3 linked regions of the Rhinolophus ferrumequinum genome follow. The protein of the gene in region 2 binds, or shares a complex with, the protein of the main gene of each other region. Links are inferred from orthologs where the notes say so. Each region holds a gene or a part of one and is shown on either strand. Other genes may lie near its edges.

Evidence for each region.
Region 1: the proteins of TAF4 (region 2) and TAF12 are in contact, whole or in part, in a crystal structure (PDB 1H3O), measured with the Homo sapiens proteins. The link is inferred for Rhinolophus ferrumequinum from reciprocal best matches to the Homo sapiens genes TAF4 and TAF12. Residues at the interface, in NP_003176.2 of Homo sapiens: Phe872, Leu873, Leu874, Pro877, Leu878, Arg880, Arg881, Ile882, Ile885, Gly886, His889, Gly890, Ile891, Thr892, Glu893, Leu894, His895, Asp897, Val898, Tyr901, Val902, His904, Ala905, Thr906, Gln907, Gln908, Arg909, Leu910, Gln911, Leu913; in NP_001128690.1 of Homo sapiens: Val57, Leu58, Thr59, Lys62, Leu63, Leu66, Val67, Glu69, Val70, Glu74, Met83, Leu84, Ile87, Ala88, Asp89, Phe91, Ile92, Glu93, Val96, Thr97, Cys100, Ala103, Arg104, Ser108, Ser109, Thr110, Leu111, Glu112, Val113, Lys114.
Region 3: TAF4 (region 2) and TAF11 share a complex: the UniProt entries of both Homo sapiens proteins name them as parts of the TFIID basal transcription factor complex. The link is inferred for Rhinolophus ferrumequinum from reciprocal best matches to the Homo sapiens genes TAF4 and TAF11.

The regions. Positions count from the first base shown.
Region 1 is NC_046292.1:19,654,784-19,662,302, reverse strand, and holds the start of TAF12 (transcription initiation factor TFIID subunit 12), read left to right. Parts: upstream 1-4,303; 5' UTR 4,304-4,391; exon of another isoform or gene 4,392-4,461; intron 4,462-7,519. UniProt on the Homo sapiens protein: The TFIID basal transcription factor complex plays a major role in the initiation of RNA polymerase II (Pol II)-dependent transcription.
Region 2 is NC_046306.1:1,376,013-1,383,958, reverse strand, and holds the start of TAF4 (transcription initiation factor TFIID subunit 4), read right to left. Parts: upstream 3,173-7,946; 5' UTR 3,128-3,172; coding exon 1,960-3,127; intron 1-1,959. UniProt on the Homo sapiens protein: The TFIID basal transcription factor complex plays a major role in the initiation of RNA polymerase II (Pol II)-dependent transcription.
Region 3 is NC_046286.1:4,993,650-5,001,717, reverse strand, and holds the start of TAF11 (transcription initiation factor TFIID subunit 11), read left to right. Parts: upstream 1-4,852; 5' UTR 4,853-4,957; coding exon 4,958-5,128; intron 5,129-8,068. Other genes in the region: ANKS1A (ankyrin repeat and SAM domain-containing protein 1A), read right to left, coding at 3,327-3,514. UniProt on the Homo sapiens protein: The TFIID basal transcription factor complex plays a major role in the initiation of RNA polymerase II (Pol II)-dependent transcription.

The DNA of each region.
Region 1 (7,519 bases), on a different chromosome or scaffold from region 2:
TGCTCTAACCAACTGAGCTAACCTGCCACTCTGCCTCTATGTCATTAAAGGAAAAAGTTAGAGGGAACATCAACAGCTTTAGGAAGGTGAAGTTATTGAGAGAACATCAACAGCTTTAGGAAGGTGTACACTTGTTGTAAGCCTGGTTAAAAGGAGACTTTTTTACAAAGTCAAAATTTTAAATGATTCCAGCAGGAAACTGGGAGGAGTCGGGACATTTCTTCCGGCCGCATAAAGCAGGGTGCTCTTGGAGAAATCTACTACCCCCCTAGTAGTTACTTTGCTTAAAGTCTCAATTCCCTGATGGGTAAAATGGGAAAATTTGGAAGTGCTCTTCGACTGAGAAAATCAGCTGTTTCCACGACAGAAAACTCATTAACCAGCTTTCACCCAAACACGCAAAATACCACTTACAACTAGATATCTCAACCCATGTATGACAAAAGTGTAAGTTACTTTATGACAATACGTGTTACACGAAAAACGATTAAACACGTTAGGAACAACTATTTTTTCTAAGTAACCTTAAAACAAGGGCGCCAGGACCAACGATCACCAGCTGCCCAAGTATCAAAAAATTATGCTTCCGAAATCTCTTGATGTCGATTCCGCACGCAGAACAATCAAGCTGCTCTGCGTGTGCCACTCACGACAGAAGCCCTTTTTGAGATTCTACTATACGAAAACAAAGTGGTGACGTTGGCAAATCCCTATTTTGATAAAGGTGAAAAGAAAAAAAAGTATATGTAACTTCCTACCCCATATTCCTGGAGTTGAGGAGGAAATTTCAACATCTTCTGAGTCAGAGGGAAATCTTCACAAGGAAACTATATGATTTGTCTTTTCATTTTTATTCAGAAGCAAAGTAAAAAAACAAAAAAAACAAAACGTGGTTGATATGCAAATAACGCAGTGCTTGCTGGGTAGGTGCAAGCGGACGCAGAGGAAGAGACCGAGGTTGCTGGAGGGAACCGAAAATCTCTCCGCGCTGCAGTGGGCGGGGGCAGGGCGGGGGCAGGGCGGGGGGGGGGCGTCGCTCTTGCAGTCAGCTGCGTGGAAAAACCCGTTTTTCAGGAGCTGTGGCTATCTAACTGGGCAAGACACGAATCCACCCTATTAAAATTGAAAATGCATAAACTTGTGCCACTCCTACTCATCCACCTTGAAGCGGCCCCAGCACGCGAGCACTGGAGTCACGGGATCATCGTAAGAGCGAAAAACGCAGCAACCTAATCTTCACTGTCACAACAACGGATTAGCAGAATGTGGTGTGTTCATAAAGTGGAATGCTATCTGCTGCACTTTCAAAGAGTGTCATACATAAAAAAACATTGAGGTTAAGAGTTGCAGAATACGGTACAGCATGATACCATGAACGAAGGAAAAAAGCAATACTGCACTTGGAATGATTGAAGTATATCTTTAACAGATATAAAAAAATGAAAAGGGTGTTGAATTGGGTACTGCATGATACCATTAATGTAATAAAGTGTATACACGTGTGCCCATGAAACCCAGTGTTACATAGTTTTTCTAGGCCCCATATTTGTATTAACTTTCTTAAAAAGATCTGGAGGAACACAAAATGATTACCCCTGGGAAAGAAAGAGGGGATCAGGATGGGGGCCACTACGCACAAGACTAGATTGACTTGTAATGTTCTAATTTTTAAAAGGCATAATGGATTATTAGTGTAATTTTAATACTTGTGCAATTAAAATATAGGCCTTGCTCTATATTTTCTCCATTTATTTCATTTTTTAAAGTTAGGCTTAGTGAGGTATAATTTACATACAGTAAATTCACCTTTTTATCATACAGTTCTGTGAGTTCTAACTCATACAGACATTTGTCCATTACCACAATCAAAATATCAAACATTTAGATCACCCAAAAAAGTTCCTTTGTCCCCTTTCCTAATCACCCCGTCTGGATTCCCAATCCTGACATCAAGTGCTCTTCTCTGGCTCCATAGTTTTGCCTTTTCCAGAATGGCATAAAAATGGAATCACTCAAAGAATGAAATCTTACCATTTGCGACAACAGGGATGGACCTAAAGTGTATTATGCTAAGTGAAGTAAGCCAGACAGAGAAAGACAAGTACCATATGATTTCATTTATAATGTGGAATCTAAAAAAACAAAGGAACAAACTAAAACAGAAACAAACTCATAGATACAGAGAACTGATGGTTAACAGATTGGATGGGTGGGGCTGGGTGAACAAGGTAAGGGGATTAAGAAATACAAATTGGCAGTTACAAAATAGCCACCGGGATGTAAAGTACAGCTTGGGAATATAGTCAATAATATTGTAATAACTGTATGTTGTCAGGTGGGTACCAGATTTATGGGGGAATCACTTCATAAATTATATAAATGTCTAGCCATTACACTGTACACCTGGAACTAATATAATATTGAATGTCAAATGTAATAGAAAAAAATTTTTAATGGAATCATTCACATATACTTCATGTTTAATATAAAAACAATAGGCATGTGTTAATTGTAAAGAAATACAGACAGTACAGAATTGTAAGAATGCCTTCCCCAAACTACTAACAGTTTATAGTATTTACCTTGCCAGACTGTTTTCTATGTATACATCATACATAGATTTTTTTAAACAAAAAAATATAGACTGTTAGGCATTTTACTTTCCTTAATATATTATAATATGTGGAGGTCCCTGTCCTCTACAACGTAGAAGCTGCAAAGAAGGGACTCATGTAAACGGCAAACACTATAATAGGAAGCAGATGTGTAGTATACACTGGTGGGAAGTATATATGGGTACTGTCAATTGGGTCTGTTGGGACTTCTCCTATAATCCACCAGTCATCTCTTAAAAACAAATCATTTCACACCTCTGCCTTCCCATTGCACCATAAAATCGCATGTCCCCACTATAGCCTACAACGTCCTGCCTGACCTGACCCCTGCCTGCCTGTCCAACCTCATTGCCTGCCACTCTCCCTATCACCTCTTTAAGTTCCAGCCACTTTAGCCAGCTCTTTCCTAGCAGCTCAGGGCCCTCCATCACTCAGCTTGATAAATCTAGTTTATTCTGGTATTCTCTCCTCTTACACTTTTGTTTCCCACTTCAGACTGTAAACTCTCTAAGAATATCGTCTGTCTTCTAATAGATACCCAGCACCTAGTTAAAATCTTGGCGCACAATGAGCACTCTATTTGTTGAATGAATGTACATTTAAATTGGGTCTTAAAAAAGATGGATAGGAGTACAAAAATAATAAATGGTATGCCAGAATACTAGAATGAAGAGAGCAGTGGCAGGGAAGTAACACCAGGAAGATGGCTTGGAGCCTAATGGTGAAGGGGCCTCAATTTTGTGAATTTGGAATGGTGGCAGAGTAAGGGTAGATTGGAAATTTGGTGGGATGAGGATGGGAAGATACAAAGATACCTAGGGCAAGTTGCCGCACAAATCCAGGTCCGAGGCAGCTCTTCCTGATTCCTGCTGGCAGTTACCAACACTTGCTCTGGGCTATCCCAGCCCTTTTAACATTCCTTTGTTTCCCCATCTTAGTGTGGGACCAGGGATTCAGACGGAATTTAGGCGGAACCGGGTCTTGTTTACGTGCTTAGCATCTGATAAATGCAGCAGTTCTCACCAAACATTTGACGGATGGAATAACTGAAAGAATCTGTTTAATGATTAGAGGACGGGTTCAAGAGGATGAGTGAGAATTCTGAGTTCAAGTTGAGACTCAACACTTACTAGCCAGGACCTTGCTTTATCTATCACAAGTTTCCTTTAAAATATTAAATGATTTATTGGAGGTGAGGAGCTTGGCAAAGTTCCTGGTAGACAGTAAGCGCTCAATTACTATTATTAATTGCCCATTCACAAGCACAACCAGTCTCTTGTCCCAGGTTCTTGTGCTGCCAACTCCCCTGTCGGGGTCCAACACAATACCTATGAGTACTGCTGTCCCAGTTAATATCCCACGTCCTGCTCTAGCAACAAAGCCACCAACAAAAAACGGCGACCTCTAAGCCATCACAGCGTGTCAATTACCAGTCACGGTAGCAATATATACAACAGGCGCAGTTGGAAAGAGACGGCTAGGGCAGGGTTCGTAACGCTGAGCTCGCCCACGCTTCCAGTTAACCACAAGCAGGAAAAAGCCCAACCACTGGAGCTCAGCAACAGCCCAGGACCGCGACCACGTGTCGGAGGGCAGTCTGCGCGTGCGCAAGCCAGGCGCGCGCCCGCCGGCCGGAAGAGCTGCGCGTTTCCGGGTTGGAGGCGGGGAGCGGTGCCGGAAGTACTCGGGGAGGGCCGAGCAGTCGGACCGGCTGCTGAGACGATCGCTTCTCTGGGGCAGTCTCCGCATATCATGGGGAGATAGACGCTGCTGCCTGTGAGTCTTGGGCCCTGGCAGTTGAGGAAGAAGAGCGGGAGGAGGGAGTCAGGACCCAGACCCACAGTCGGTCAGTGTTTGAAGAGCCAGGTTGTGGAGGAGACGGGGCTGTGAGGAATCAGGCTCTTGGGACGGGACTGAGGGGATCGGGGCTCGGAGAAGACGCGGCTGTGGGGACCGGGGATGCCGACGGGACTTAGGGAACGGGGACGGGTATGAGTTCTCCGGCACTTGAGGGAAAGCGGTCTGAGAGCGACAGGATTGTGAGGACCCGCGCTCCTAAGAGGAGAGGGTCGGAACGGAACGGGGCGTTAAGACACGGGCTCCTGAGAGCTAAAAGCGAAGCTTGTGAGGACTTGGGCTCCTAAGAGGCAGAAGCGGGACAGTGAAGACCCCGGCTCCTAAGGATTCAGAAACAGAGCATAGAAGACTTAGATCCTTGAGAAGTAGAAGCAGTAAGAGAACTCTTGGGTTTGGGAGGAACAGGAGCGGGCAGTGAAGACGGGCTCCTGTGAGGACAGGATCGGGGCTTGGAGACTCCGAAGTACCTGAGGGAACTGGGCTGTGAGGACCCGCACTCCTAAAAGCGAAGAGTATAAGGGGCCGTGGTTGTGAGATCGGCCTCCAAGGGAAAGGGAGAGAGTTGGAAAAGATATAGTGATCCTTTTTCCCCCCCGTATTCTCTGAACCTAGAGTGGTAAAGGATGTGTTCGGGGGAAGGCGACTCCTCTTTCGCTCTGCCTATTTGGCGTTTGGCAGGCTTTTCTTGTGTAAGATACTTGAAATCTAGGAATCCCAAATGCAAGCATCTTCATTTTCTGCTTCATTCTTGCGAAGCTCGGATGTGAAGTTGAAGCAGTTTGAACTCAGTTATATACTTGATAAGTGCTTTAAATCCCATTCCACTCAACCCTGATTGAGCACAGATCTCTGCATCTCAAATAAAAGAATGTGTGAGATGGAAGGGCCCAAAAAGATAATCTTTTTTAAACTCCTATTTTACATGTAAAGAGGCTAAGGTTCAAAGGGGCTTAGGATCACAGTGATTGAGTAAATCATGATTTTGATACAGTACCCTGCTGTACATAGAAATGGAAGATGATGCTTGGTTAATATCCCTTGAAAACATGCTTCTAGAATCTTTGCTCTAACTTCAAACTCAAGAGGGAAATTTTTACAGATTTCTACTACTTAATTTGGAGTCTTGTAACTGTATTGACATTGATACAGTGCATATCACTATCATTTAGGAAACCTTTAAATGAAGCCCACCCAAAATATAGTAAGCCATTTGGAAAGTTGGAGATAAGTAAGCTCTATCCTATATTTTTAGCACAAGCATTTACTAGAGATGCCTGCTTTTAGATAAGGTTGTCAGGGAGACTTGGATCAGTCATGTCCCTTCTTCAATAATATCTTTTACTGAAACCTACTTAGGCTAACCAGGCACCACCATAAACACTTTCAAGTATTAGTATATCATTTAAGTATCACTTACAGCCCCACAAGTTAGATATTGTTAGTCCCATTGTACAGATAAGGAGATAGGTTCAGAGACTTTAAAGTACCATGCCTGAAATCACATGGTACTGAGTGGCCCAGCCCTAGTCAAACCCAGTTGTGTTTGATTAAAACCTTTTCCTACTTTTCTAAGTGGATTCCTCTCCATATCTCAGTTTGCCCATCAGCAAAATAGAAGTAATAATTATACAAAGCATATCACTGAATGAAAGCACCCCCTCCTTAAGACTCATGTCAACTACTATAACTTATTAGGGTACTTATGTAGTGTGGTGTTTAAGGAGAACTAAATTCCTGTGATTTGAAAGTATCATGGATATTCAAGATAGAAAAATGGGACCTGAATAGAACTTTTCCTCACAATGGAGCAAGATATATTTAATTTTAAGTTTAGGAGGCCAAGAAAGACCACTTTGAAGAATAAAGGCTTACATTTCATTAACTTTATAATTAATTGTAACATGAACTAGATGATTGGGGAAAATGGTCTAACTTAGTTGAAACTACTATTTTCCCCCAATGAGTTAGCCTACACTATTTGCAAGTGCCTATACTTATGCAGATGATGAAAACTTACACCACATTATGAGGTGAAACATTCCCATACCACCATTTCAAAATACTTGATGGTTTAATTAATGATAATTTGTTACTGAGTTAATATCCTCATCTGCATTTACAAAGTATACTTATTTCACTCATTGGTGGTTCTAGCATTGATTTGAGTTATTATAGCAGGATTTCAAAATTACCTGATCAGAAAATCATTGTGTTTGAGCAGATGTGGCCATAGGACATATTAGTTTTGACCTGAGGTCTTTGTGGAAAGCCCGCAAATACTTTGGAGGCAATACATCAGCCGTGCATGCAGTCTGCACTGTGAAACAGGTCTGTTGGAGGCAGAAGACAAACTTTGAAATCTGTACATATGGGCTTAATTTAAAATCTTACACTAATTGTTAGAATTGGAAGGGACTTTAGAATTTGGCTGTTCCCACTGTAGAAACTCTGGTCAAAGGGTCCTCACATAATTCGGTGGCAGAAGTAAGATTGTTCCCAGCCCTCCAGACTTGGGTCTTTGTTGAGCCACAGTACCTTTTATCAATCTCCTGTTGACAATTTGCCACTGTTTTTTTTCAATCCATTTTCTTTTTTTAATGTCTGAGGTCATAAGAATGGTTATAGGATGCCACCAACACATAGTAGGATGAGTGAAACCTTTTAGTTTTAACACACTGGTTTTTATAAATAAGATTTAGAAGAGGAGAGCGTATATGTAATATTAGCAAACATGTTTAGAACATGTTCTCTTTTGTGCTTACCATGTACCACACACTCTTCCAGTGCTTTAGATACATACATTTAGTGAATTGCCACAACTCTCCCATGAGGTATACTTTATGATTAACTCTGTTTTACAGATGAGGAAATCGAGGTATAAAGAGATTAGATAACTTGTTCAAGGACATAAGGTTAATAAGTGGCAGAGTTGGTACTTGAACCCAGACCCTGTTACCGGCATCCATGCCCTTGACCACTGTACTGTACTACCTTTGTGTTAAGTCAAAGCCACCTAAACAGCATCAAATTCGTCCAAAAACTAGTGG
Region 2 (7,946 bases):
GAAAGCACTTGGCCTCTTCACACACAGCTCTCAGCATTTGTCACGCAAATGTCAACACGAGCTGTTCTCTGCTCTCACACAGGACTAATGCAAAGACTCATGAGAACTCACGCAACGAGTCAGTGTTTTTACAGTTTTTATCAAGGAGTTGTCTGCTTCTCACGTGAACACATCCTTAATACTGACATTTGAACAGAGATGAAAGTGAGTCCACGGTCACCCATGACAAAGACAGGACACCCTTTTTGAACCACAGCTTCCTCCCCCAGAAGAAAAACGGCAGGGGCTGCACCTATACTGAGGCTCAGAGGAAGGGGATCCAGTGAACCCCAAACCACCACACCTGCAGGCCTCATGCAGCACCAGCGGCCTCTTCACCACCCCTGCACACCTGGCCAAGCACCTGCCTCACAAACTTCACTGACAAACTCGCCCACTTTTAAATAACAAAAGCGGAATGTGGGGACCATCCTGGTAAGAGAAAGACAAATCTAAAGCCAACAGGACCACCGAAAGGACATGGCCGTGGACAGGTCAAAAGTATCCTACGTTTTACATAATGAACTATAAGCACGAATTTCCTGTTTTAAATGTAACTAAAGATCAGCCTATACATTCTCCACTTACAGGTCAGGAGGCACATCAACGAACAAAAGAGAACCGTCAATGAAACACCCTGACAAACTCAGAAACAAACACAACATGTCATGAGCGGCATCTCACACCACCTCTTCCTCCTCAAGCACGGGTGCCCCAGTAGCCCCTGGTTGGGGCTGCACCCTTTCTCTACCAGTGCCCGTACAGAAACAGGTCCCCGCCACGCTCTGCACCACTGCCCAAGCTCACTGACTTGGACAGGGAAACCCTGCCTTCTTAACACGCTGAAATTCCTTTTCAGGGTGACCCATGCTCTTTCCAGCAAGCACGAGGAGACACGGAGGTGCTGTTTCTACTACTTCTGCCACCACAGCAGCTGCTCCAGCAGCACATGTTACTACACAGCCAGGGAGGAGCTCTCCAGAAGCTCAGCACTCACTCCACGCTGACGAGTGCAGGGGACAGAAGAGAGAAAATGGCACAGCAAGTGCTCGAGTTTCCCTCTGCCTGGGAATCCCAGAACCAAGCGGCGACACAGAACGCTTGGGGGATCTTGCACTGTCACACGCAAAGAAGCGCCAAGATGACAGGAAACTGAGTGGACTCACTGAGCGCGCTGGGCTCCGTGAGGTCCGGCACCATCTGACCCTCCAGGAGACCCGCTGACTGGACAGCATGTGCCCGCCGCTGGTGTCACTGGACGGTCATGATCAGAGGAACCAGGCGTCCTCTAAGTGATCACACGGAGCTGAACCCCACTGTGGGATGGGAAGGGCTGAAATCCCAGGAAGGCTGTGTGCCCAGGAGTCCTCCAGGGCTCACCTGGGGTGCCTGTCATCCTGGTGTTAGGAGGGAAGCAGCAGCTTTCCATGCAGACCTGCCCAGCCTCAAGGAGGGGACGTCACTCTGCACGACCCACCGGGAACACCATCACAGCCCCGAAACTAAAGGAGCAGGGAAGCTCAGTGAGGACACAGACCATATGTCTGATCCCTGACACAAGAGGGGAAGTGCCAAGCGTGGGAAGACCATGGACCCAGGCCATGTCTCTCCATCCTGTATAACCCAGCAAGGTGTCCCGGCAGCGCCTGCTGCCACTGCACTGCACGGAGGACGGGAGGAGAACTGTGAGCACCGGCCCAGAAACTTTGCAAGGCAAGGACATAAACTGAAACCAACCTCTGCACCAGGTAAGAGACCCCAGCTGCCACAGGACACCGGGACGTGCAAGAACACATTCTCACCCCGGGTGACATCCTGCCCCTGGGCACGGCTACAGCTCGGCTCCCACAGGCCCGTGCCAGACCCTACAACTTCCTGGACTCCCAGCTGGGACAGCAGACTCGCGCGTCGCTCACTCACCTGGGGGCAGCTGAAAGTTCTGGATGTTGGTCGGGTTCTGGGGCGGCTGTGGCAGACGAGGGGCCAAGACGGTGGGCGTCAGCGTGGCCCGGATCCCGCTGGTGGTGACCGAGGGCGTGCGGGGCAGGCTCTGGGCGACAGCGCTGGCCGAGCCCTTGGGCAGCCCGGTGGGGGTGCCGGCGGCGGCGGCGGCGGCGGCGGCGGGCAGCGCCCCTTGCATAGTTGGCCCGAGGATCATGCCAGGCCCCGCGCCGGCCGGGCAGCTGGCCGCCAGGGTCTGCGGCGGCGGGGGCGCCGGCGGCGCCGCGGTCTTGGGCGAGTCGGCCTTGGCCACCTGCGCGGGCGGCGCGGCGGGCCCGGGCTGACTGTTGGCGGCGGGCGCCGGGGCGGGAGCGGGCGCTGGGGCCGGGGCGGGAGCGGGCGCGGGGGCCGGGGCCGGGGCGGGTGCGGCGCTGCCCCCGTTCTGCGCGGCCGCCGGGGGGCCCGCCGGGGCACCGGGCGGCCGGGCCAGGCTGGCGACGGCGGGCGGCGGCGGCGGCGGGGCGGCAGCGGGCGCAGCGGGCGCGGGGGGCGCGGGGGGTGAGGGGGCAGGGGGCGCGGGCGCGGCGGGCGCGCCGAGGCGGGGCGGCGTGCGGGCGGCGGGCCCGTTGAGCAGCAGGCTGGCGGCAGGTGCGGCGGCGCGCGGCGAGTTCCCCGGCGCGGCGCTCCCATTCAAAGTTTGCGCGGCGCCGGGGCCGCCGGGCGGGCCGTTGCGGGCGGCGGGCTTGACGGCGGGCGCGGGCGCGGCCCCCGGTCCCGAGCAGGCCCCGGCTCCGGGCCCCGGCGGCGCGCTGGCCTCGAGAGCGCTCAGCTTGGCGGCCGGCCCTGCGGGGACAAGCGGGGCGGCGCGGTGAGGACGCGGGCCCGGCCGGCTTCCGGCCACGCTCAGGCCGCGCCGCGCTCTACCTGCGGGGGGCGGCTCCGGCGCCGCGGCGGGCGCGCCCTCGGCCGCTCCGGCTCCGGCGTGGTTCCCGAGCGCGCCGGCGGGTGCGCGGGGCGCGAGGTGGTGGTGCTGGGCCGCGCTGGCCGCCAGCTGCGACTCGAGCGAGCCCACCAGGTCGCTCACCACTTTCTCGTCCACCTCGCTGTTGAAGAAGACCTCGTCCAGCAGATCCGAGCCCGCCGCCATCTTTCCTCCTCGGCCCGCCGCCGCCGCCGCTCGGCCGGCGCTGGGCGGGGAGGCGGCTCCGCGCGGGCGGGCGGGCGGGCGGGCTGGCGGCCGGCGGGGGCGGGCGGGGGGCGGCGCGCGCCGGGCGGGGCGGGGGCGGCGGCCGGGCGGGGGGCGCGGGCGGCCGGCGCGGGGGGAGGGCGGCGGCGGCGCATTACGCAGGCGCGGCGGCGCGCCCGCCCCCGCCCGCCGCCCGGCGCTTCGCCATTGGCCGCGGTGCCCCCCCGCCCGGTAGCCGGGCGCCTCGCCATTGGTCGCGGCGCGCGCTTAAAAGGCGCGGCCAATGGCTGCGAGCGGCAGAGGCCGGGGCGCGGGCGGGCGTCCGGGCACAGCGGCCGGGCGGTGGGCGCCGGGGTTCTGCGGGCTGTGGGGGTGCGGGCTGCCGGGCGGGCCCGGGGTCGACCGCGGGAGGCCGCGGCGGGCTAGGATCGCGGCCGAGGCCTGCTGGGGACGGCGATGGGGTCTCGCTCTTTGTCTCCGCTGCCTCCAAAATGGCTGCGGCCGGAGCCGACGGGAGCTGACTGGGCGCCCAGCGGGCGAGGGCGCGGGGACGCCGTGCTCCGGGGACCGGGAGCCCCTCCGAGCCGCCGCCCGCGGTGACCGTGCGCTCGTGGAGGGCGGGGGCAGGGGTCCAGGGTGGGAAGGCGCCCCGGCGTCGGCGCCATTGCTCCGGGCGGGGCGGGGCGAACGCGCTGGGTCCTCTACTAGGCGCTCGCGCAGGAAGCGTGCGGCGGCCGGCCGGGCGCGGGGACCACTGCAGAGCTTGCGGGGCGCGGGCCGGAGGACCCGTGCGCCCCGACCCAGGCCGGTCCCCGGCTGAGTCAGCCTGAGGCCTCTCCGGAGTGACTGTCATTTCATCCGGCCTCACGGTTCCCAGACACGAGTGTCTTTTATAAATTATTAGGTGAGCCAACCGCGCCTGCGGGGACCGGTAGCTGGATAGGGAGCAGTCCGATCTGGAGGGCCCTTTCTGTTCCTCGTTTCCTGTAAGTCATCTCAAATCATGTTTACAAGCGCCTCTATAAACTATTTCAGAGAAAATTCTCTCTGCGTTTGTTTTTTGTTGTTGTTGTTGTTTTGGTTTGGTTCTTTGTGTTTCACCAAAAGATGGTGTTCTGGGACATTTTTAGTGGTATTTCTTCTCCTTTTTTGGGGGAAGCCCAGAGAGAAGTGTTCTCAGGCCTCACTGGCAAAATGGGAGATCAAAGGAGCAGGCTCCTGCCGAAGGGATTGTGGCCCCGGTAACACAGACCTCAGCACAATAAGGGAAACAGTTGGCAGTAAACGTCCTCTCCAGCCACGCTAACAAAAGGCCCATCCAGCTGGGCTGTTGTGCGGGCTCCACGCAGCTTTTCAAACCCTTGGGCTGATTTCTGGGTCACCCTCCCCAGCTTCCCAAAGAGCAGTAGGGACTGGAGTCCAGGAAAAGTGCTTCCCCGGGGGACAGTGTCAGGTAAATCCTCCAAGGATAAGTGGAATTTTAGCACCCAGAGGACAGGAAAGGAAAGGAACTACCAGGGTTCAGGGGCGCCCTGGGGTGGAGAACTGGGTGCCTGCGTACCTTGACCCAGCCTGGGCTGGTAGTCTAGTTCTTAAACAAGAGCAGAAATGTGGAATTGTGTGTAACCGCTTGTCCTCTTTAAATGTTGACAACTAGTTAGAACATTTTAAAGTGGACCAGACAAAAACGTCAGCAAACCAACCTCGGCCCTCGGTGCAACATGTGTCGTAGGAAACGCAGAGGGTCTACCATAGTCTACACTCAGATAGAAATCAAAACACTCAGATGGAAATCAGGGGTGCTAGCAGGCAGAACGCTGGATGCCTCTAGGAAGTGAAACACAGCTTCAGAGGCCTCTCCAAGGCCTGTGGCTGTGGGGGAGGGGACCCATTCTTAAGCCCGCCCCTGCTACATGACGCAAATCCTCAGTAGAGAAAGGTCACGGGTGCCATCTCAGGCTGCTCCTGTTTGCCCACAGCGTGGTGAACTCCTGAGTTCCCTGAAGGCCCACCAGAACCCCTCCAACCCGGTGTGCTCCCCGGGCCTCCAAAAGCTGGGCTCGGCGTCCTTGGATGCCCTCCACAGCCCCTCCCCTCTGCACCAGGCCTCTTCCTGCATTGTGCTGACATCACCCCCACAGTCCTCTGGGGCACCCTCCAGTCCAGCAGGAAGTGTGGGAGGTTAAGAGTCTGTGCCCTGCCCCCTGCCATCCCAACTTCCCTGGGGGGGTGGGCCTTCTGCATCCCCAGGAAAAGGTAGGAGCTGCAGACCAGTTAGAGTTAGCAGCTGTACTGGTGCCCTCCAGAGCACTGCCCACTTTGAGAGTGAACAAGAGGAGTACAGAAGCCACTTGGCTCCTCCCCTCCCTCAAAGCTGGTGGGGGACACACTGCCAACCTTGGTCACCCTGGGGACGTGGGCCATTTTCTTTGAATATCTCTGTGGTTGCACTTGCTTCCACAAGCAGTTTTGACTTCCATAGCTTGAAAGTAAAATCCCACATAGCATAAAAAGAAAAACAGGAAAGAAAGGAGTAAATATAAACACCACGCTTAAACGCAGAAAAATGTTTGCTGTGAGAACGGCAGAACCCAAAAGAGGACGTCCTTGCCACCTGCCACACTGCAGATGTGCCAGGCCCTGGGCAAACAGGCAGCTGTGTGGGCTTCTTACTCAGCAGTCTGTTGTCTTTTCAATAAAATACAGAAAGCATCAGACACACTCGCTGAAAGACAAGAATAAACAACAAAGACTCAGTAAGTTCAACTTCGCTGTGGCTGTGTGAAAGATGTGCAATGTTTGTTACCTTTCCCATGCTTTGGTTGTCTGTCTGAAATACTACATAATGAAACAACATTTTTGAAAAAAAGACATGCAGTTATCTAGATGGCCAGTGACGCAGGCCAGTGCCCCAGAGTCCTATCGACCTGGCTGACTTCCCCACCCCTGCCGGCAGTGCTGCAGGCTCAGTGGGATGTGTTTAAGCGTGGACCCACAGCCAGGGACAAGCTCATGAACACCTAACTGATCTGTGAGCAGCGACACGTTCGTTTCTTAGGGTCTTCAGAGCATTATCACAATGGGGACTTAACCGACATTTATCCTAGTCACGTAGCTTCTCTCTGTGTGTCTGTCCTCTCAAGAGGACTCCAGTTATTGGATTTAGGACCCACCGTACATCCAAAATGACATGTACAAAGACCCTATTTCCAAATAACATTGAGGTTCTCATTGGATATGAATTTGGGGGGACACTATTCAACCCAATGTACCAGATGACTAGTTTGTCCACTATGGAGAAAAGACCTATCCGATAAATCACGAGGCCCTCTTCAGCCTTACCAGCTCCTGTGCCCCAGGAAGTGGGCGGGAGAGGCTGGAGTACGAGACACCAGCCTGTGACTCGATGGGTCTGCAGTGGAGTCCACTGATCAGGACAGTCCCCTCCCTGTCCTGCCTTGCCAAGAAAGTGACGATGCTCAAACCTGCTGGGGTGACCACCCATGATAAGCACACTGACGCACTGAGACTTTCCCGTGCTAAGCCAAGCCTGAATTGCAGAGGCGGGAACTGAGGCTTGGGAAGGTCAAGTCAACAGCCCAAGTGGGGCAGAAACCCAGGGCTCGGACCTTAAAGCGACAGACGTCAGAGCTGCTCTTTCGAGGTTGCCACCCTGGGCTGACCGGCCCCTCTGTCCACAAAGCCTCTCAAACAGCAGGACACCACCAGTTCGATACACGCTCCTAAATTCGAGTCAGAGCCAGGCCAGCTGCCTCTCCAAAATTGACCCAGAGCTCCAGGATGGGGGCTGGCTGTCTGCAAACTCTGGAATGACTCAATCACACCAGTCTCTAGGCTGACTCTGAAAAATGGCTAGCTACATACAGCCATCGTGGGTGGATTTCACTAGTGTAGCTCAGAGACGAGCTTACTTCATAGCTCAGATGTATTGTCATCCCTAAAGCAACCACCAAAAAAGAAAAAAAAAAAACAAAAAACCACAGAGGTATAGCTAAAAATCAACAAACAAAAATCGATGGCTAAAAAATTCAGATAATCCAAAAGGGAGCAAAAAAGTATATTTGAGAAGGAACAAACCTAAAACAGAGATGATAGACCTAAATCCCACCAAATTAATCATTAAATGTTAAGCACTTCCATCAAAAGGAAAGAAAAGCAAGAGTCTGCCATGTACTATTTTCAAGAGAGGCACTTTAAAAAATGTAAATCATACAAATAGTATGCCTACCAAGCCTGGAGAGACGATATTGACACCAGATAAGGTAGACCACCACAGAGTACTGTCAAGATAAAAGAGGACACAGCATCATGAAAAACAGTTATCTTATCAAGAAGACAAAAGTCCTAAGTTGTTAGGAGTTTCATAACAGCTTCCAAATACGTGAAGCAAAGATGGACAGAGTTAAACAGAGAAACAGATAATTCAACAGTGGGATGGCACAGTCTTTGTTCTTTTGTGGCTGGCTTCTCTCACTGAGCATTTTGTCCTGAAGGACACGTAAAAATGAGGATTCCCCTCATTTTTATGGCTGAATAATACTCCATGGTGTGGGTAAATCACCCTTTGTTTATCCGTTCATCCGTCGATGGACACTTGTGCCCACTTCCACGTTTTAAATTGTGAATTGTGCTGCAGTGAACACGGGTGTGCAGATAAATACGTCTTCAAGCCCGTGCTTTCGGTTCTTTTGGATTCGTACTCAGAAGTGGTCTCATGGACATATGTACTTAAGTTACTTTATACTTGCAGGTTTTAGCA
Region 3 (8,068 bases), on a different chromosome or scaffold from region 2:
TGGGTAAACATCTGGTAAGTGAATGGCATTAACGTGCCTGCCTGAGCAAGTCCTCTCCCTTAGTGACTGTTTCCAATCTGCCATGGCTTGGAAAACAGATCCCCACGTGTGAAAGAACACCACTGAAACGTGTCTGGCATGGTACTTCCCACACAGCAGGTACAACATGGCAAACGGGACGTGCTGAACTGAACTGAGGGCTAACAGTGAGCCCTCACAATATGCCAGAAATTGTGGTAAGTTTCTTACACACATTATCTAAGACAATACCTGTAAGACGGGTAATATTATCCCCATTTTCCAGATGCAGAAACTGAGGTTCAAAGTGGTTGAGTAATTTGTATAAAGTCAGGCAGCTGGTCAGTGATGGCAGTGGAACTTGAATCCAGCCAGTGTGACTCCAGAACAAGAGGCCTTAAGCCTGATACTATCCTGCCTCTGCATGTACAGTAACTAAGGGAAGGTCAAGAGGACATGAAGTTTACAACAACTTTTTTGTTTATCTGGAAGTATTCTTTGCTGACTTTCTGACTCTCAGGTATGCTCTCAACTGGTGAGGGTTACTTTACGTAAACGTTATACTGACAGGCCAAAGCAATAAACAGTGAAATCCAGGCAAAGCATAAGTCGACGAGTTTCTATACACCGCAGATGACGGGATCCAAAGAAGCAGGAGCTTGAGAGATCTGTGTGTATTAAGGTGGTTAGGGAGGGCTGTAAGAAGTTAAGACCAAGCCCAAGCAGAGTAAGAGCAAAGGGATAAGGTGAGAGAAGGAGCATTTTGTATCTTAAGAATAAGCACAAAGCTTTTGTGGAATGGGCAGTGGAGCGCGGGGGGGCGGGGGAGGGATCATAAGTAGATGACTAGATGAACAGATGAATAAATAGATGAATAGACAAACACACATGTGGTGTGGAACATCTATATCCACTGCGACTGTAAGCTCCTATTCCTGCCAGCTTTACTTGGTCACTCAAACAGCTGGACAAATGTAAGCGCAGTTGGCAATACTAGTGGGGGTAGGATATGGCAGCTAAAGCAAAGGCCCATTCTGAAACTGTCATTCCGCAGCTCTTGCTAAATAGCCCAGGGTCCCCGAGGTGGGGAGTGTGGGCATCGTGGACCTAACCCTCTATTATTTCCAAACCTAAAAAGGCAGGACGTGCTGACCTAGGGGTTATTTAAATGCATGGTCTCATTTGCTCAGAAATCTTTCACTAGGTTGAACCAGAGTCACCTCTAATTAATGACACACCTAGTGTAACAAGTGCCTGCAGATCCTCCCTGCCCGTAGGAGTCACAGGGACGAGAGCTGGGCCAGCTCTCAGGCCATCAACCGTCTACAACAGACACAGACGCAGGTCAGGAGGAGTGAACTCCCTTACACAAGGGAATGGAGACACCACCTTCCACTCTTTATGACACACTTATTAACATAAGGCCCAAAGTGAAAACATGGTGCTCAACAAAGATTTCCTAGTCTCGCTTAACTAACTCCTCAGCCGAAGTTCCAACAGTCTCTGAGTGAGAGCACTAAGAGTAACTTGGCCTGTACTTGAAGGCAGGAGACGAAAGTCTCTCACTTCAGCAGGATACACTGGGCGTTAAGGTCCCTCTGGCAAACCTCCAACTGCTACATCATTCAACTCATTAAGAGACAGGCAACTCCAAACTTGCATGGTCTTTCTCTCATCTCTCAGACATCAGAAGTGCAGAAATGTCCAAGGAATCCGGGGAAGATTCAAAACCCAATTCACACATTCAAAGAACATTTATTCAACACCGGTGAGTTGTCGGGCACTGATCTAGGGACTGGGAATATAAACATGAGAAACACTAAGTCACTCTGAAAACTGGAAGTTGATCCATCCATCATCATTTCCCTTAATCGTGCCCAACCGGTCAAGGCTCCAGTCAGGAAGTTCTGGTGTCCCCCTCACACCAAATAAGGCTCCTTTTCCCCTTCCCTGCCTGCGATCACGGGTGTGCCCACCTGGACCACTCTCACTCTACTTCACCAGACGAATCCTCACTTCCTTCAAAACCAGCTGAGGTTCCTCTCTTCCTGGAAGCCCTGATCTCCACCTCATCCCAAAGTGATGCCTCATTTCTCTGAACTAACAATTACGGTCTGAGTACCACCATCAGTTTATTTAGAAATGTATCGTTTTGATACTTTTATTTACTCAACAAATCCTGAGTACCAAATGTGTGACAAAATTGTCTTACGGGCTGCAGAAATTGCAGCATATGGTTTGCCTCCCCCAAAGAATTCCTAAGGAGAGTTCTTCTCTTAAACTGCCTTTTCAAATCTTCCTGTAGAGAGCTTGGTTCCTACTCAATGCTTAATACCTAACAATTTATTAGAGCCTGAGGGTTCCTTCCACCAAGCTTACCCAAATTGAAGTTACATAAACTAATGGGGAACAAAACCAAACCAAGCCATTTCTAAATGAACTTCCACTTCTTAAAAACCTCAAAAGAACAAGGAAGGAAAAGAAAACAGGCTATGAAAGTGCTGCTGAACCATCACATTTTACTCACTGACAATCCCCCCTCCAAGCCACACAGAAGTGACCTTCTTCTCTCAGTCTTTACAGCTTAGATTCAAGTGTTTATTTTAACAACAGACCTTGGAAAAGTTTAAAGCCTCCTTGGATAGTTTCCTAACCAAGTCTTTCTAAAGCTTTATTTCTTGATGAGTAAACCCCCTGATGCGTCCTGCATATGCCACTTAACAGACTAACCCAATGAGGTTCACTACAAGGAACCAGAATGTGAGCCTCAAGCACCAGGGGAGCTCAAAGAACACTTTAGACGTGATAAATCCAGAGACAATTTTAACATAAACAACAAAAGCCAGATCCTGCAGAGCCCAGTGGAAGGTTCCAAGTTCCCAGAAGAAGGAAATCAGGGTAATTTCCTCCAGGGGAGCCGCGAGATTCTGCAAGACGCGGGTGTTTCTGCAGGAGGTGAGGGAGATTTAAAATATACATATATTGCTCCGAAGTGGCGTGTTAGACACGACAGCTGGCACCCTATCGCGGGCGAGGGTGAAGCCGGGCTGTGCCATGCGGCGGAGGCAGCCACCTGGGCACTCCCACCATTCTTCGCAGCCGGGTCAGGACGCGAGACAAGAAGAGCCCGGCGCCGCTCGGACCCGCACCGGCGACCCTCGCCCCGTGGGCCGCCTGCCTTCGCCCCGGGGCACCCGGAAAAGCCACCCCACCCGGGTCTCAGGACCCTCGATCTCTCTGGGGACCCAAGGGACAGACGGTGGAGATGGGCTCTCGTGGCGGCTTCCCGGCCCCGGCGCGTTACCCACCTGAGCAGACTGGAGAGGGGATGGCTCGAGGAGCCCAGGCCGCCGCCGCCGCCGCCGCCGCCCCCGGAGCCGCCACCGCCGCCGCCGCCCCCGAAGCCTGAGGAGAGCCGCTTCCCGGACAGCAGCTTCTCCACCGCCGGGAGGTGCCCGGTGCGGGCCGCCTCCAGCAGCTCCTGCTCCTTCCCCATCCCCAGGGCCACCGCCCCCTGGACCCCCTTCCCGGGGCCGTCGCCGAGCCTGCTCGGTCTCCCAAACTTTCCGTCTCCGGGCAACGCACCCCCCAAACCGGCCGGGGACACCACCCCCCTCCCCCCCGCCAGGCCCCCCCACGAGCGCGTCACTTCCGGGATCCGGCGTCACGCGTCACCGCGCCCCCGCGCCCCGCCCCCTTACCCACCTAGCTGGGCGGGGCTCGGCGGTTAACGCAGGTGGCTGTGGTCGGTGCCTCCTGGACTTGGCTGAGCCGAGGTAGGCCTCCGGGGGCGAGAGAAAAGCGCCCTGTGGGCGCCCGCTGTACAGGTGGAAGGGAACAACCAGGGCCCACCTGTGTGCGCCTCCAGAACTGCGCTCCTTCCCCAAAGGTTTGGGAGCCCCCAGGACAGGAAATACGGTAATGCGTCCAGGCAGTGTAGAAACAAAGAGAGAAATACGGTAACGCGCACCTACATTTCCTAGTCCATTCTTTCCGCACGCATAAATTAAATATGTAATGAGTGTGGGGACCTAATGACACACAGGTGAATAAAATGCCCCGTACCTCAGTGAGGGAAGACAGGAAATTTTTAAAATAGAAACATCTCCACTTCATGCTCCCAACCCCTGAAATGGCTCCTAAAATGAAACAGTCAAAGGAAAGACCTCCCTCCGGATGGAATTTGTTTCCTCTTACTTTTGATAGTATTAACCAAGCCGACATGAAAAGTCAGGTTAGTGAAACTGACCCTGACCTTGAGTACTGGTGAAGTGTGAAAATTATTTAATTGGGTATAAACTATGTCTGTTTTGTTTCTGGTACGAGCACCGTTCCTGGCTGAATTAGGTTCTCGAAGTAGTTGTGGATTGGGTAAATTCTGTTCAAGCTATGACTTTAAGGTGCTTGAGGAAAAGAGAAATGCTGGCAATTCAGTATAAACACAGGCCCGCAGACTCTGTCCAATTGAACTGTGTACTAGGAGGCTGAGTCCCTGCCTAAAAGTTCACCAGGTAGCCGCACGCCACGACACGCGCGTACCACGGAACTGAGTTTTCTCCCGTCCCCAAACTTTACTCTGAGGAAAGCGGTTAAGGAAGGAGTTAACGACATTGCGTTTTCGGAAAGGCGGGAAAGAAAAAGAAATCCTTCGATAAACAACACAGCACTTATTTACAAAGGTTGGCTTCCCAGGATGGAAGATGCACAAACTAAACTCCCTACCCTTAATTTTCCCTCTCCCCACCGCCATCAAATCTGAGTTAAAACGGAGCCTTGAGGTCCTCCAGGAGCGCCTCAAAATGACCCTCCGAGGAGCGGTAGGGGTGATGTCATCGCAGCGCGACGACAGGAAGTAAGCTTCTGGGCTGCTGTGCCGCGCTAGGTCCCGGGCTTCTGAGAGGGACAGCACCGCGATCTCCTCGCCCTTATTCTGGAGGCGATGGATAATGCCTGCGAGTCGCCCACGGAGAAGGGTGGGGAGACAGGGGAGTCCGATGAGACAGCCGCTGCTCCCGGGGGTCCCGGGGCTACTGACACGGACGGAATCCCGGAGGAAACTGACGGGGACGGAGATGGGGATTTGAAAGAAGCTGCGGCTGAGGAAGGAGAGGTAGGCAGAGAGGTGTTGACGAGGCTGGAGGAGTACCCCGAGATTGTGTTACTGGCTGCTCGACCACCTTCTTGATCGATCCCTCCCAAGCGAAGTCGAACTCACCAGGACTCCCTCTAGCTCTGCAATCGCGCAGGCGGGGGGGTGGTAGGAGGAGACAAAACTATAGTGTCCGTTCGGTTCCGGAGACCCAAGCACTGGCTTAATATTTTTAATCCCTGCCCTTAGCGATTAAAGCTACTTCTAAGGGAATTCTAAATAGCCTGTTGGTTTTACTGGGGAGGAAATTGGGATCCAAATTCACATTGAGAGGGTGCAAGAGCTAGAACCCAGGATCCCTAGTATCCCTTTCACCGCAATATGGTTTCTATTAAGATGTTGCTTAAGCATAACTTTGTTATTTATTATAGGCTGCAGAGTCGTTAAAGGGAGATTTTGAGAGAATTGCTGGTTTAGTCACGTTCTCCCCCTCTTGGGACATTTAACTGCTACCTCTGGGGGCCAATGTCCAAGGGTCTCTGTAGCATAAACGCGCGAAACCCATCAATTGTGCCACCCAAAAGCTCCGCAGTGTTGTTACCTAGCTGAGCATCCGTCAGGGGACCAGAATCTCAGCGTTCTCAAGGTTCCATTTCTAGAGATAGAATCTTGGGGTCTTAGAGCCATGAGTGAGGGACTTCAAGAGGTCATGGAGAAGGACATTGGATTAGAGGGAAACAGCCTTTCAGCGCATAAAGTTGCATCAAAATAGATAAAGCAAGAACTTTTAGAAAAAAGTGATTAAACTATTTTAGAAGGAACCTTTAAAATGGATCTCAAGGACAAAAAGGATTTGAATAATAATTAGCGTACATACAGAAATTTGCACCCAACAGAAGATGAAATTATTTTTTTTGATGCTTCTGAAACACTTTTAAAAATTGCACATACACCAGACCACAAAGAAAAACAAATTCTTAAAAGTAGATATCATAACGGGCCACATCCTGTGCGATACACTTGAAATTAACGACAGAAAACATCTCCTACCCCCACTCTTCCCCCAAAAAACTAACACCTGGACATTTTAAACTGTTTTCTAAATAACCCATAGATTAAAGAAATTAACAGAGAACACTACATCAAATTCTATGAGGTTTGACCAAAACCTTTTTAAAGAAAAATTCGGGGGCCTGCCCCGGGGCTCAAGCGGTGGGAGCGCTGCGCTCCTAACAGGGAGGTGGCTGGTTCCATTCCCACAAGAGCCAGTGAGCTGCGCCCTCTACAGCTAAAATTGTGAACAACAGCTCTCCCTGGAGCTGGGCTGTGGTGAGCAGCTGGAGAAGGTTAGCTGGGCCTGCTGCTGGCTGCTGTGTGCTGCCATGGGCTGCTGTGTGCTGCCGTGGACATCGTGAGCTGCGGTCGTGGACATCGTGAGCTGCTGTGGGCTACCGTGTGCTGCCATGAGTGGCCGGCAGTCAGCGTGAATGGCCGGCAGCCGACGAGAGCTGCCATGAGCTGCTGTGAGAGGCTGACCGATGACCGGCAACCGACTGCCTCAGTCCCGGGGAGCACAAGGCTCATAACACCAGCAGGGTCCAGGGAGCTGTGTCCTACACAGCTAGACTGAGAAACAGCGGCTGGAACTGGAGTGAGGGGGGAGTAGGGAGGGGGAGGCGGAAGAAAGGGGGGGAAAAAAAGAAAAATTCATAGCCTTATGTATTTTTTTTTTTTTAAAGGTTTTATTGGGGAAGGGGAACAGGACTTTATTGGGGGAACAGTGTGTACTTCCAGGCCTGTTTTTCCAAGTCAAGTTGTTGTCCTTTCAATCTTAGTTGTGGAGGGTGCCGTTCAGCTTCAAGTTGTTGTCCTTTCAGTCTTAGTTGTGTCGGGCGCAGCTCAGCTCCAGGTCCAGTTGCCGTTTTCTAGTTGCAGGGGGCGCAGCCCACCATCCCTTGCGGGCTGACCTTGTGGTTGAGAGGACGCCCTCCAACCAACTGAGCCATCCGGGAGCTCAGCGGCAGCTCAGCTCAAGGTGCCTTGTTCAATCTTAGTTGCAGGGGGCGGAGCCCACCATCCCTTGCGGGACTCGAGGAATTGAACTGGCAACCTTGTGGTTGAGAGCCCACTGGCCCATGTGGGAATCGAACTGGCAGCCTTCGGAGTTAGGAGCATGGAGCTCCAACCGCCTGAGCCACCGGGCCGGCCTTAGCCTTATGTATTTTTATTAACAAGCAGGAGAAATTGAAAATAAGCACCCAACTTAAGAAACCAAGAAAAAGGAAAAATAAACCAGAAGAATGTAGGAACAAGGAGTTAATAAGAATAAAAGCAGATGTTAATGAATTAATGCTTGCAAAACATAAGAAATGATAAAGACCTGGCTATTTGAATGTAAATGCACAACATTATGAAATAAGAAAGGGCAATACACACTGATATGGAGATCTATAAAGTTATAAAAAAAATTTCAATGTTCAAATTTTAATTTTCAATAGATTTGAAAATCTAATAAAAACGGCTTATTTTTAAGGAAAATGTAAATCAAAATTAAAGCACAAAGAGGTTAGAAAACTTGTATAAATCAATAACTAGAGAAGAAATTGAAAAAGTTGCTAGACATAAACTATACTCACTCTCACCTACCCCTCATAGTCCTTTATGAGTTTAAATGTGAGTTCCTTTTTACGGAAAACAAAGGTTAAATCCCATTAATGAGGATTTAATATTGGTTTGTTGTATCCTTAGATTCTGTATTAAGTTGGAGAGGATGAAGTTTGGATTTTGATTTTTCTGTTATTAAACAGATGTTAAACATCTAGCATGAGTTAAACTGTGTAAATGTTTTAGTGGGGAGAGATAAATAAGAGACAAACCTATCTTCAAAAAGTTTTCGGTCTGGGGCCGGCCCGGTGGCTCAGGCAGTTAGAGCTTTATGCTCCTAGCTCCGAAGGCTGCCGG